Rattus norvegicus: one gene and its partner. The protein of the gene in region 1 purifies or fractionates together with the protein of each later gene. This does not show direct contact. Links are inferred from orthologs where the notes say so. Each region holds a gene or a part of one and is shown on either strand. Other genes may lie near its edges.

Region 1 (4,558 bases):
GGTGGGAGTGGGGTTGAGATAAAGCCTCTATATTCTATAGTTCTGGATGTCCTAGAACTCACTATATAGACCAGAATCTGTCTGCCTCTGCTTCTTGAGTGCTTAGTTTAAAGGCATGAGTCACAAGGCCCAGCAGGTCATAGCTTCTTTTTTTTCTTTTCTTTTATTGGATACTTTTTTATTTACATTTCAAATGTTATCCCCTTTCCTGGCTTCCCCTTTGGAAACTCCCTATCCCATCCTCCCTCCCCCTGCTTCTATGAGGGTGCTCCCCACCCACCCGCTCCCCTCCTGCCTTCCCACCCTGGCATTCCCCTACAACACTGGGGCATCCAGCCTTCACAGGACCAAGAGGCCATAGCTTCTTAAACTGAATCCTAACTCCTTATAGAGGTGCTGGGTCATACAACAATCTGGCAATACTCAAGGACTTCTGAATGTATAACACTCCAAATTAATTAAAAATCAAATGAGTAATGAATCTGAAGTGTTTCTGGCAATGCATGCTTGTGTTACATGATGCAACTTCACAACACCCTTGGTTCTAAACACACTTGCTGTCGTGTTATGCAGTGCTAACATTTATTTTTATAAGTTTTAATGTTTTTTATTAAATAAAAAGTTTTCTATTCTTCCAGAAACATACATACAGAAAAGGCTTTCATCCTTCATGTATATCAAAGTGGTATATTTGTGATCGATTGTAGATCGACTGTATTGTGTTAGAATGTCTGATTTTAAAAACTGCTGTTTAAGTTGCTGACTTAAATTTCATTTTAAAAATTATTAAATGAGGTCTGGAGAGACGGCTCAGTGGTTAAGGGCATCGACTGCCCTTCCAGAGGTCCTGAGTTCAATTCCCAGCAACCACATGGTAGCTCACAGCCATCTGTAATAAGATCTGATGCCCTCTTCTGGTGTGTCTGAAGACAGCTACAGCATACTTATATAAATAAAAAATTATTAAATAAATTTCATCTTGTGATTAAGAGAGAATTTTCAACAATGTCTGAAATGGCCCTAAACAATTATATGGAGTCGTTGGCATTGGATGATTTAATTCTTTAAGTAAAAATAAACTCACCCATCTCATTACTATGAAAATGTGCTTGAATCTTTAATAAATAGTAAAATTGTATGTACCAATGAATTGTTTTAAAATAATTTCATTTATGATCTATTATCAGCACATCTGAATTATATACTTGCTTTCTACATTTTGTACTCAAGGTCACGTACAATCTTTTGAGAAAAGAGGATGGCAAACGGGGAAAGTTTATGAAGTACTAGTCTAGGTTTTGAGTAATAAAATCCTCCAGGACACGGACCAACCTTCTCAGCATCTAAGTCAATACTGCTAAATGCATGAACGTGTCTTGCTTTGTTTTAGGTAGAAAAGAATTACTTTATTCAAATAATTGTAGAGATATGGCCACTTATAGTTGGTGAATAATTATAACAATTCCCCCACTTTGTCCACCGTTATTCCCTTCCTAAGCCAATGTCAAAAACCCATGGTATCTTCTAATGAAGACCTTTGTGAAGGGAATGTTCAAGTACTAGGTTGTTCAAGTTCAAGTAAACTAAGAAACTGATGGCTAAGTTCTAAGTGTCAAATATCAACTGTTCTTTAAGTGGGCTATGCTACGGTATAGCAGGTGCACTGATTTTGAGCCCAGAAAGGCCTAAGTACAAATTAATTTCTGCACTTACTAAGAACGTAATCTCCTGCACCTCAGTTTTCAAGTCAATGTACAGGACAAGTACTGGTAGCCCCGAGGGTTCTGTGCCCCGAGATACTGTGCCTTTTACATCTGCATTATAATCAACTCCCAATAAACAGTTACTATTAAGTTTAATAACAGCTGGCATCCACAGTCTGGAGAGATTTTTGTTTTGGTATGCTTTGCTTTTTAAAATGTTATCCAATTTCAGCAACAGACATGTATTTTCACTGTATTTTAGTTGCTAATCTGAGCCTCAGTATTTTGCTTTCTCCTATTTTAATCGGTTCCGGACTAAGTTTTTCAATCTTCCCTCCACGGGGTGACAACCGTATCACGGCCGGTTTTAATATTTTGGAAAACTACACATTTTCCCTTCAAAAGCCAGCTACATAGAGGTCTGATTTTAAGACTACTGCTTAAGGAAACGATACACCCAAAGCAACGATCCCGTCGAGAAAAAGAAATCTTTGATCAATTCTACAGAATCATTCCCATTCAAACGATCCCAAGTCTGCAGAGTGAGCAAACGTTCAAGTTTCTACTAGCAAGGCAATCTTCTGGTTACTGAACTCTCAACTCTTCCCAGACGCACGAAGAGAGAACATTCCGCGCATCTTCGCGCCTGCTTCTCACACAAAGCCCCCGGTTGAAGAAAAGTCGCCCTAGGCGGGCGCCGACACTCACAGCAGTGCGGCCCACCCGGGATCTCTGCCCACGGCGCCCCTTACGACCCTCCGAGGAGCCCTCCACGCGCCGAGCCCCGGAGCGCCTCCACGCCGGTGCCCGCCCACGCCCTAACAGTCTCAGGCCGGAGAGCACTTAGGCAGTGGAATCAGGGGGCCACGGTCCCCGCCGGCCTCACACCCCCGAGGGCAGCCACAGACCTCAGCAGGCTCGCCAGCCGCTGCTCCCGGGAGCCCAAGAGGGCAGGCCTCCGCTCGGTGTTCGGCCACCCGCGCTCGACACCGCCCCCGCCCCGCCTCTCCTCCCCGCCCCGGCTCGCGTGGCGCCTGCCGGGTCAGGAAAGCTCGGCCGGCCCGGCGCCGCCACCTGCGCCCCCGGCCCCGCGCCATGTTTGAGAAAGAGCTGAAGCGAGCCAGAGGCCGGGCCCGGCTCGCGCGCCCCACAGCCACCCGCCCGCCACTCACCCTTCGCCCCCGGGAGCAGCGTCGCCGCCGCCACCAACACGATGAGAAGCAGGCAGCGACGCAAAGCAGCCGACGCCGCCTCCATGGTCCCGCTGCCACTGTTTGTGGCCCGGCCCGGCCCCGGCCTCAGCTTCTCCTCAACAAGCCTCGCCTCTCCTCGCCCCACCTCCCCGCCGCCGCTGCGGCCTCGCTCCGGCCCTTTGTAACTGCTCGAGGGGCGCACGCCCATTGGCTGCCCAGCTCCCGCCGACCCCGCCTCCCCCGCCGCCCGCGAGCGCCCTAGAGGGACCCAGCGGAGAGCCCCGCCCTCGGGGCCCCTGGGCGGCCAATGAGCGGCCCTGGACTTCTGCCTCTAACCACGCCTCCGCACTGCTGGGCCTCTGGCCACGCCCCCTCACCGCTGGGCGCCTATACTCCAGCCACAGCAGGGTAGCTCGTACTCTACCGGCGGGTGGGGGCAGGGTCCAGCCTGCGCGCCCGAGGGAGCCCGCAGTCCGGACTAAGCGCTGGGTGTGCCCGTAAGAGTTGCTCAGGGAAAGACTGTGGACGTTGCTCGCTCTTTTCTTCTACTCCAACCCCACCCTGACTTTCCCTGCACAGTCCTGCACCGGCAAAGCTCAACTATCGCCACTCCGACCCTCAATACGGTCCGCGGTTCAACTTCTTCTCCCTAGACCCGCTCCTCAATTCCCAGCCTCCCCGCAAAGATAACCCGATTTCTTCCCGCACTCTATGGCCGCCCCAGACCTAGTCTTGCCCTCCTCAAATTCCAGTCCCAAAGTCGGAGCCCAGATTCTGAATCCCGAGGCGGAGCTCAGACACACCCCTGAGTGGCCTGTGTCTCTCGGCAGTATAAACAGACTGTGGGTCCCCGCCGCTCTCCTTCCCTCCCACCTTCCTGACCCCGCGTGGAAGCGGAGAGGCCTACGGGTTTTGAATGATGGGGGATTCGGGGCGAAGCGGGAGCAGTCATAGGTACTTAGAGCTGTCTCCGACACGCCTGTGTAATAATTTCGAGGTGTCACTAAAAACCCAAATAAACTCAGCTCCGCTTTCATTCTGAATTCCTAATTTACTGTGAGACGCTCCACCCACCTTCCCTCTGGGATGCCAAAATGAGCTCCAGATTTGTAATTCTTCCTGTCAGACTAGTCCTTTCTTCAGACACAAACACAGTCACGGAGGCGGCCGCATGGCACCGACAGCATTTTTCCGCAGAACCTTTTAAGGAGAAAATTTTATTTTCTGTATGATTTGAACTCGGAATTAAATGAAGCTCGGTAGTAGGAACCAGCCGGCCTCTAGTATCTGTTAGTAAATTGTTTTACAGCCACTCTCCAAGAGTTTGATCCTGCTTATGAAAGCAAACCGTGGGGGTTAGAGCTGGGGTCTGAGACTGCTTCTCGGCTCCAGCTAGGACACGCTTGAGCAAGTCCTAACCTGCCAGAACCTGAACAGGCCTGCTCTCTGGGACTGCAGAACGATCAGTTCCTAGCTCCCCTGCACCGAGGCTACAGAGACTAAATTTGACTAGCTTCTAAGGCAATCTCTCTGAAAGACTTAAAGGGGCTGTCACACCCGAAATCTCCAGTGCCTATCCCCGCCTCACCCCCACCCCCAAAGCCTTGTACTTCCTCGGCAAGTACTCTACTAATAGCTAGGCAAATACTCTCTACTGATAAG
Region 2 (4,594 bases), on another chromosome or scaffold:
GCATGATCCTCTACCCTGAGCACAAAGACAAGGAGCAAACAGAAGGCATGGAAAACCTAACAGGATAATATGGGGAGGAACCTGTTCAGGGTCCCGGCCATGAAGCCCAGGCCAATTATGGTGCAGGGAGGGACGTCACTGAAACGCAGGGGTGGGAGTGTCGGGCGTTCTAAGGACCACTAATTGTACGCTTTTCTGTGCGAAATAAAGATAAAAAAGTAGAGGCCACCCAACTTCTCCAGGCTGTTTGCTCCTTCTCGCCCCGAAGTGTGCACAGCTGAGACTGGATACCCAGTTCAGTCTCCATCCTACCACTGCCCCCAAACTCCAAAGCTGGGAGGCCAGGACAGTATCTGGGCCACTCGTGCCCCACGTGACTGTCCTTATTTACTAAAGGAGAGACTCTCCAGCCTTTAAAGCTAGTTTCTCCCAGCCTTCCTTGGCGGGCTTGGGCCGAATCCAACTCGGCCACACACCTCAACGCCTTTCCGGGTGCGGGGGAAGCGTGATCCCCCACTTTGCTCTGTATCCCCTTGCATACCCGGAAATAAGAGTGTCTCGTTTTCTGCAGCATGTCAGTTCAGTATAAGGCTAAGCAGCAGTATCCCTGGGTCTCTTCCTCTGGAGGGAGGGGGGATGGTGCAAGAGCAAAATCTTGAAAGGGAACCCCAAGGAATGTCAGAGTTTCCCCCCCCTCGTTCCTTCTTTGATTTAGTTCCCTTGTCTCCTCCAGGAGATAATGCACACACCCTCGAGCATTTCTACCAGCATTTCCTCGCCAGAGGGAACGAAAGGTGGACTCAGAACAACTTCTTACCTAGTTCACAGAGTCGACTAAGGTGATGGGGGTTGCAGCACACCAGCTCGGGGTTGATCTTCCCGTAAGATTCACAGCAACACAGCCTCTTGACTTCCGAGGAATGCCTGAGATCCGGCCACCTGAACACTTTGCACAGCAGGAGGGGGAGCGAGTAGGACGAGGGCGGCTGCGCGGGCTGCGCGCTGGCGGGCGCCCCCGGGCCCAGCCTGCAGTCCAGGCGGCCGGGCAGCAGGAGGCACGCGGTGCGCGTACCGCCGCGGGACTCCACGGCCTGAAGCAGCAGCTCCAGCTGCCGCTCCTTGAGTTTCTTGAGCACCGAGTGCGTGAGCGCCTTCAGATCCGCCTCGGCGCCCCCGGCCGCCCCGGCACCCGAGGATGGGGGATGGGGATGGTGGTGACCTTTGGCACCTCGGACTGCCTTACCCAGGCAGCAGCCAGCCCTGCCCGCACCGCCGCCACCAGCCCCATAAGCCCGGCCGTCCGTCGCCCCTTCTCCCCGCAGGTCGCCTCCGCCGCCGCCACCCCCCACGCCCTCCTCCTCGTCCTCGCCGCCGGGCGCACGGCTCCTCCAGAGACGCCGGACGAGCGCAGATCGTTTGGTCCTGAACATGCGGGGCGAGGAGGCGAGGAGAAAAGTCGTTTGCCGGCTAAGGAGCGAACATGACCTCCGCACACCATGAAGAAGTCGGGCGCCGAGTTGGGGCAGCAGGCGCAGGCGACAGCAACAACAGCAGGGGCCCGGGCAGAAGCGGCGGCGGCCCGAGGGGCGCTCCGTGGCATGCGCCAGTCTCCCGGAGGCCGGGGCGCGCGCGGGGGCCCAGGGGCGCCCGCCGGGGATCGGGGGCCTGCGCTTCGGCTGCCCCACCCGGCGCGGCCCGCGCCCTGCGCGGCTCTCGGGCCCCGGCGTGCCCCTGAGGAACGCGGCCGCCGCTTCCCTGGGGGCGGCCGAGGCAGCCCCGGTCGACGCCTCTCCCCAAAAAGGCCCCCCTACAGTGGCTCCCGAGTGTCGGGCTCGCCAGCCTCGGCTTCCTACATGGAAGATCCTCAGGGGCAAAAAACGAAAGACGTTAGGCTGAGCTACTGAAGGGAGGAAAAAGCCTCTTTCCCCCTTGCTAAGCAACTTAATTTGGGGGTGGGGAGAAGCAGGCAATTAAAAAAAAAAAAGGCAGGCACACGATTTATTTTTTTCTTCTATATCCTTAGTAACCGGATCTCCTCGAATTCTGTGCACGCGAAGACTTGAGGGAGGGGGCCGAGTAGACTTCACCCCTCGTGAGATGTCTGGAGGGTCTCTCAAAAACCCCAAAACCAAATATGCAAAGCCCCCAGTGAAAAAACACACCACCTTCTCGCACCTCGGAGGTCTGGAGGGCACCGGATGGAGCCGGGGTTTAAAAAGAGAAAATGTTTACAAAGTAGAACAAGATGTTGGAAGGGTGGGGGGAAAAACCGTATCCACGAGTTACATCCCCTTTTTTTCCTTGCTGAACCCCGCCGGTCTTCCTTTCCTTTTCTTCTGTCAAAAAAAAAAATCGTATTTCTTTTAATCCACAGAAAGGTCTGGTTAGGCTGCTTCAATCTTGCGTATCTGGGTGTTTTAGAGTCTCTGGTCTTTCCTCCTGCGCTCCCGGGGGCCCAGGTCCTCGGCGGGGACTTCCTCCGCGCTGGGGAAGCAGGGACAGAAGATGCTGCGGCGGCGGCTGCGCCCCGGGGGGCTGTCAGCGCGGGGGAGGGCGGCGCGGCGGCGGGCTCCGGCGGGTCGCAAGCTCTCGCCCCCGAGGGCACAGGCGGCAGGCTAGCTAGCGTGGGGGCTGCCGGTGCCCCTTCTCCTGGCCGAGGGTGGTCGCTGGGGCTGCTCGCATAAGCTGCTGGCCCCGACCCGACAGTGGCGGCAGGAGGCCCGGGTGTCCTCTCGCAGCCTCTTCCTCCGAGACTCTCTTCGTCGCGCCCGGGAGCCTCCTCGTCCCCCGTCCGCCCTCTCCTGGCGCTCGAGTCCTTCTGCCGCCGCTGGGGGCTCGCCGCGCCGCACTCAGGGACTCCGGGGCCGAGCGCTCGGCGGCGTGGCGCCGGCTGGCTGGCTGCGTCTCAGGCAGCTCTCCGGCGCGGCGAGCGGACCGAGCGAGGCGCCCGGCTGGCTCTGCTGGCGCTGCTCGGGGACAAGATCCTCTGTGCGCCGAGCAGCGAGCGAATGTGCCCAGGGCTCGCCGCCTCCCGCAAGGCCTCCCGCCTCCGCCCCCTTCCCTCCCCCCTCTACCCCTCCCTCCCCCGCCCCCAGCCGCCGCCGCCTCCTTCCCGCCCCCCCACCCGTCCCTCCGCTCGGCTGGTTCCACTGCGCAGTGGCGCGCCCGGCTCCGGCCTCGTCACGTGGCCGTCTAGACACCCTGTCGCTTTAAAAAAAAAAAAGCGATTGTGTTTCGCAAACAACAGATCGGGTTTCTAAAAGCTATTTCAACCCCCCTCCCAGTTACCGCCACCCTCTCCCAGGTCTACAGAGGGGTACCCACGGGCGGAGGGAGGTGGGAGGCCGAGACGGCCCCGGGGGTCGGCGGAGACCCAGGGGGAGCAGGGGGAAATCGGAAGAGCTGGGGGCGTGGAGCGGGCGAGTTTGGAGCGGAATGAGCCGGTCAGTGGCCCGATTTAGACCAGTGGAGCTCGCCGGGGCGCTTCATTCATTCGTTTTGTTTTAAGGCCCTGGCGGCGGATCCCTTGGAAAGGGGAGGAGATCGCTGTCTGTTTCAAAGACATTTACACCGGCCAGGACAGAGGCCCTGGGAAGTGTGCGCTAGAGGGAACAGCCGGGCGGCCGAGGGCGGAGAGGCGGCGCGAATGTGACCTCAGCGGCCGCCGCGCTCCCTCCCGCCCTCTCCCGCTCCGGGCTCGGGTTTCTAGGACTGCCTGGAGAAGTGTGTCTTGTGCACAGCTCTGGAATGCATTTGGCAGGCTGACGAGCAGCGAGGGGCAGCATCCTGGAGGGAGGAGGGGTGCAGCTCGCCTGCGCGCCGCCGTCAGGTTTCCTCCGGGCTTGGAAGACCTCCGGCACCCGCCACTCGGCCTCCTGGCGCGCGAACGTTACCCAGTGAGCAGACCTGCTTAGAGCATTCAATCGCATGCGGGGCCTACTTGGGGTCAGAGAGTTTTTCCCTTGACCTCAGGTTCCAGAGAAAGCTATCCCCAGATGCAGGTGACTGCTTGGAACTAGAAAAGGTATTTGTCAAGCGAAAGTCCTGTGGGTGCTGGTCTGAGGATAGTACTAGGGTGTTAAATGTGACTGAGACAACTAGTTGGCATGGTGACCCAGACTCACATATTTATTGGGTTTTTTTGAAAAGTCTCTTGAGGGGCTGGGGATTTAGCTCAGTGGTAGAGCGCTTACCTAGGAAGCGCAAGGCCCTGGGTTCGGTCCCCAGCTCCGAAAAAAAGAACCAAAAAGAAAAAAGAAAAAAGAAAAGTCTCTTGAAATTGTAACAGGATAGTAATAAAACTCATGGGGGTGGGGTAAAGATTTTTTACCAAATGTGGACTGTAATTATTTCTTCCAACCGGAATTATATGTTCTGACCAGTAACTTCTGTTTCTAACCTGATAGATACTTTCAAGGGCTGGAAGTATAATTCATTAGAGGTCCTGGGTTGAGTTACTAGCAACTCAAACAAGGTAGGAGTCAAGGTAGGAGTTAGGTCTGCAGACCATTCCCCTACCGCACTATATGATAAAAAAAAAAAAGAAAAAAAAGAAAACCACAAGTTTGTCACATGATCCTCTCCCGGCGTGGGA

Evidence for each region.
Region 2: the proteins of Tgfbr1 (region 1) and Smad7 purify together in Homo sapiens (affinity purification with western blotting; 19 studies listed by BioGRID). This does not show direct contact. The link is inferred for Rattus norvegicus from reciprocal best matches to the Homo sapiens genes TGFBR1 and SMAD7.

What each region holds. Positions count from the first base shown.
Region 1 is NC_086023.1:66,447,882-66,452,439, reverse strand, and holds the start of Tgfbr1 (TGF-beta receptor type-1 precursor), read right to left. Parts: upstream 3,043-4,558; 5' UTR 2,961-3,042; coding exon 2,876-2,960; intron 1-2,875. UniProt on the Homo sapiens protein: Transmembrane serine/threonine kinase forming with the TGF-beta type II serine/threonine kinase receptor, TGFBR2, the non-promiscuous receptor for the TGF-beta cytokines TGFB1, TGFB2 and TGFB3.
Region 2 is NC_086036.1:71,261,766-71,266,359, reverse strand, and holds the start of Smad7 (mothers against decapentaplegic homolog 7), read right to left. Parts: upstream 2,853-4,594; 5' UTR 1,431-2,852; coding exon 818-1,430; intron 1-817. UniProt on the Homo sapiens protein: Antagonist of signaling by TGF-beta (transforming growth factor) type 1 receptor superfamily members; has been shown to inhibit TGF-beta (Transforming growth factor) and activin signaling by associating with their receptors thus preventing SMAD2 access.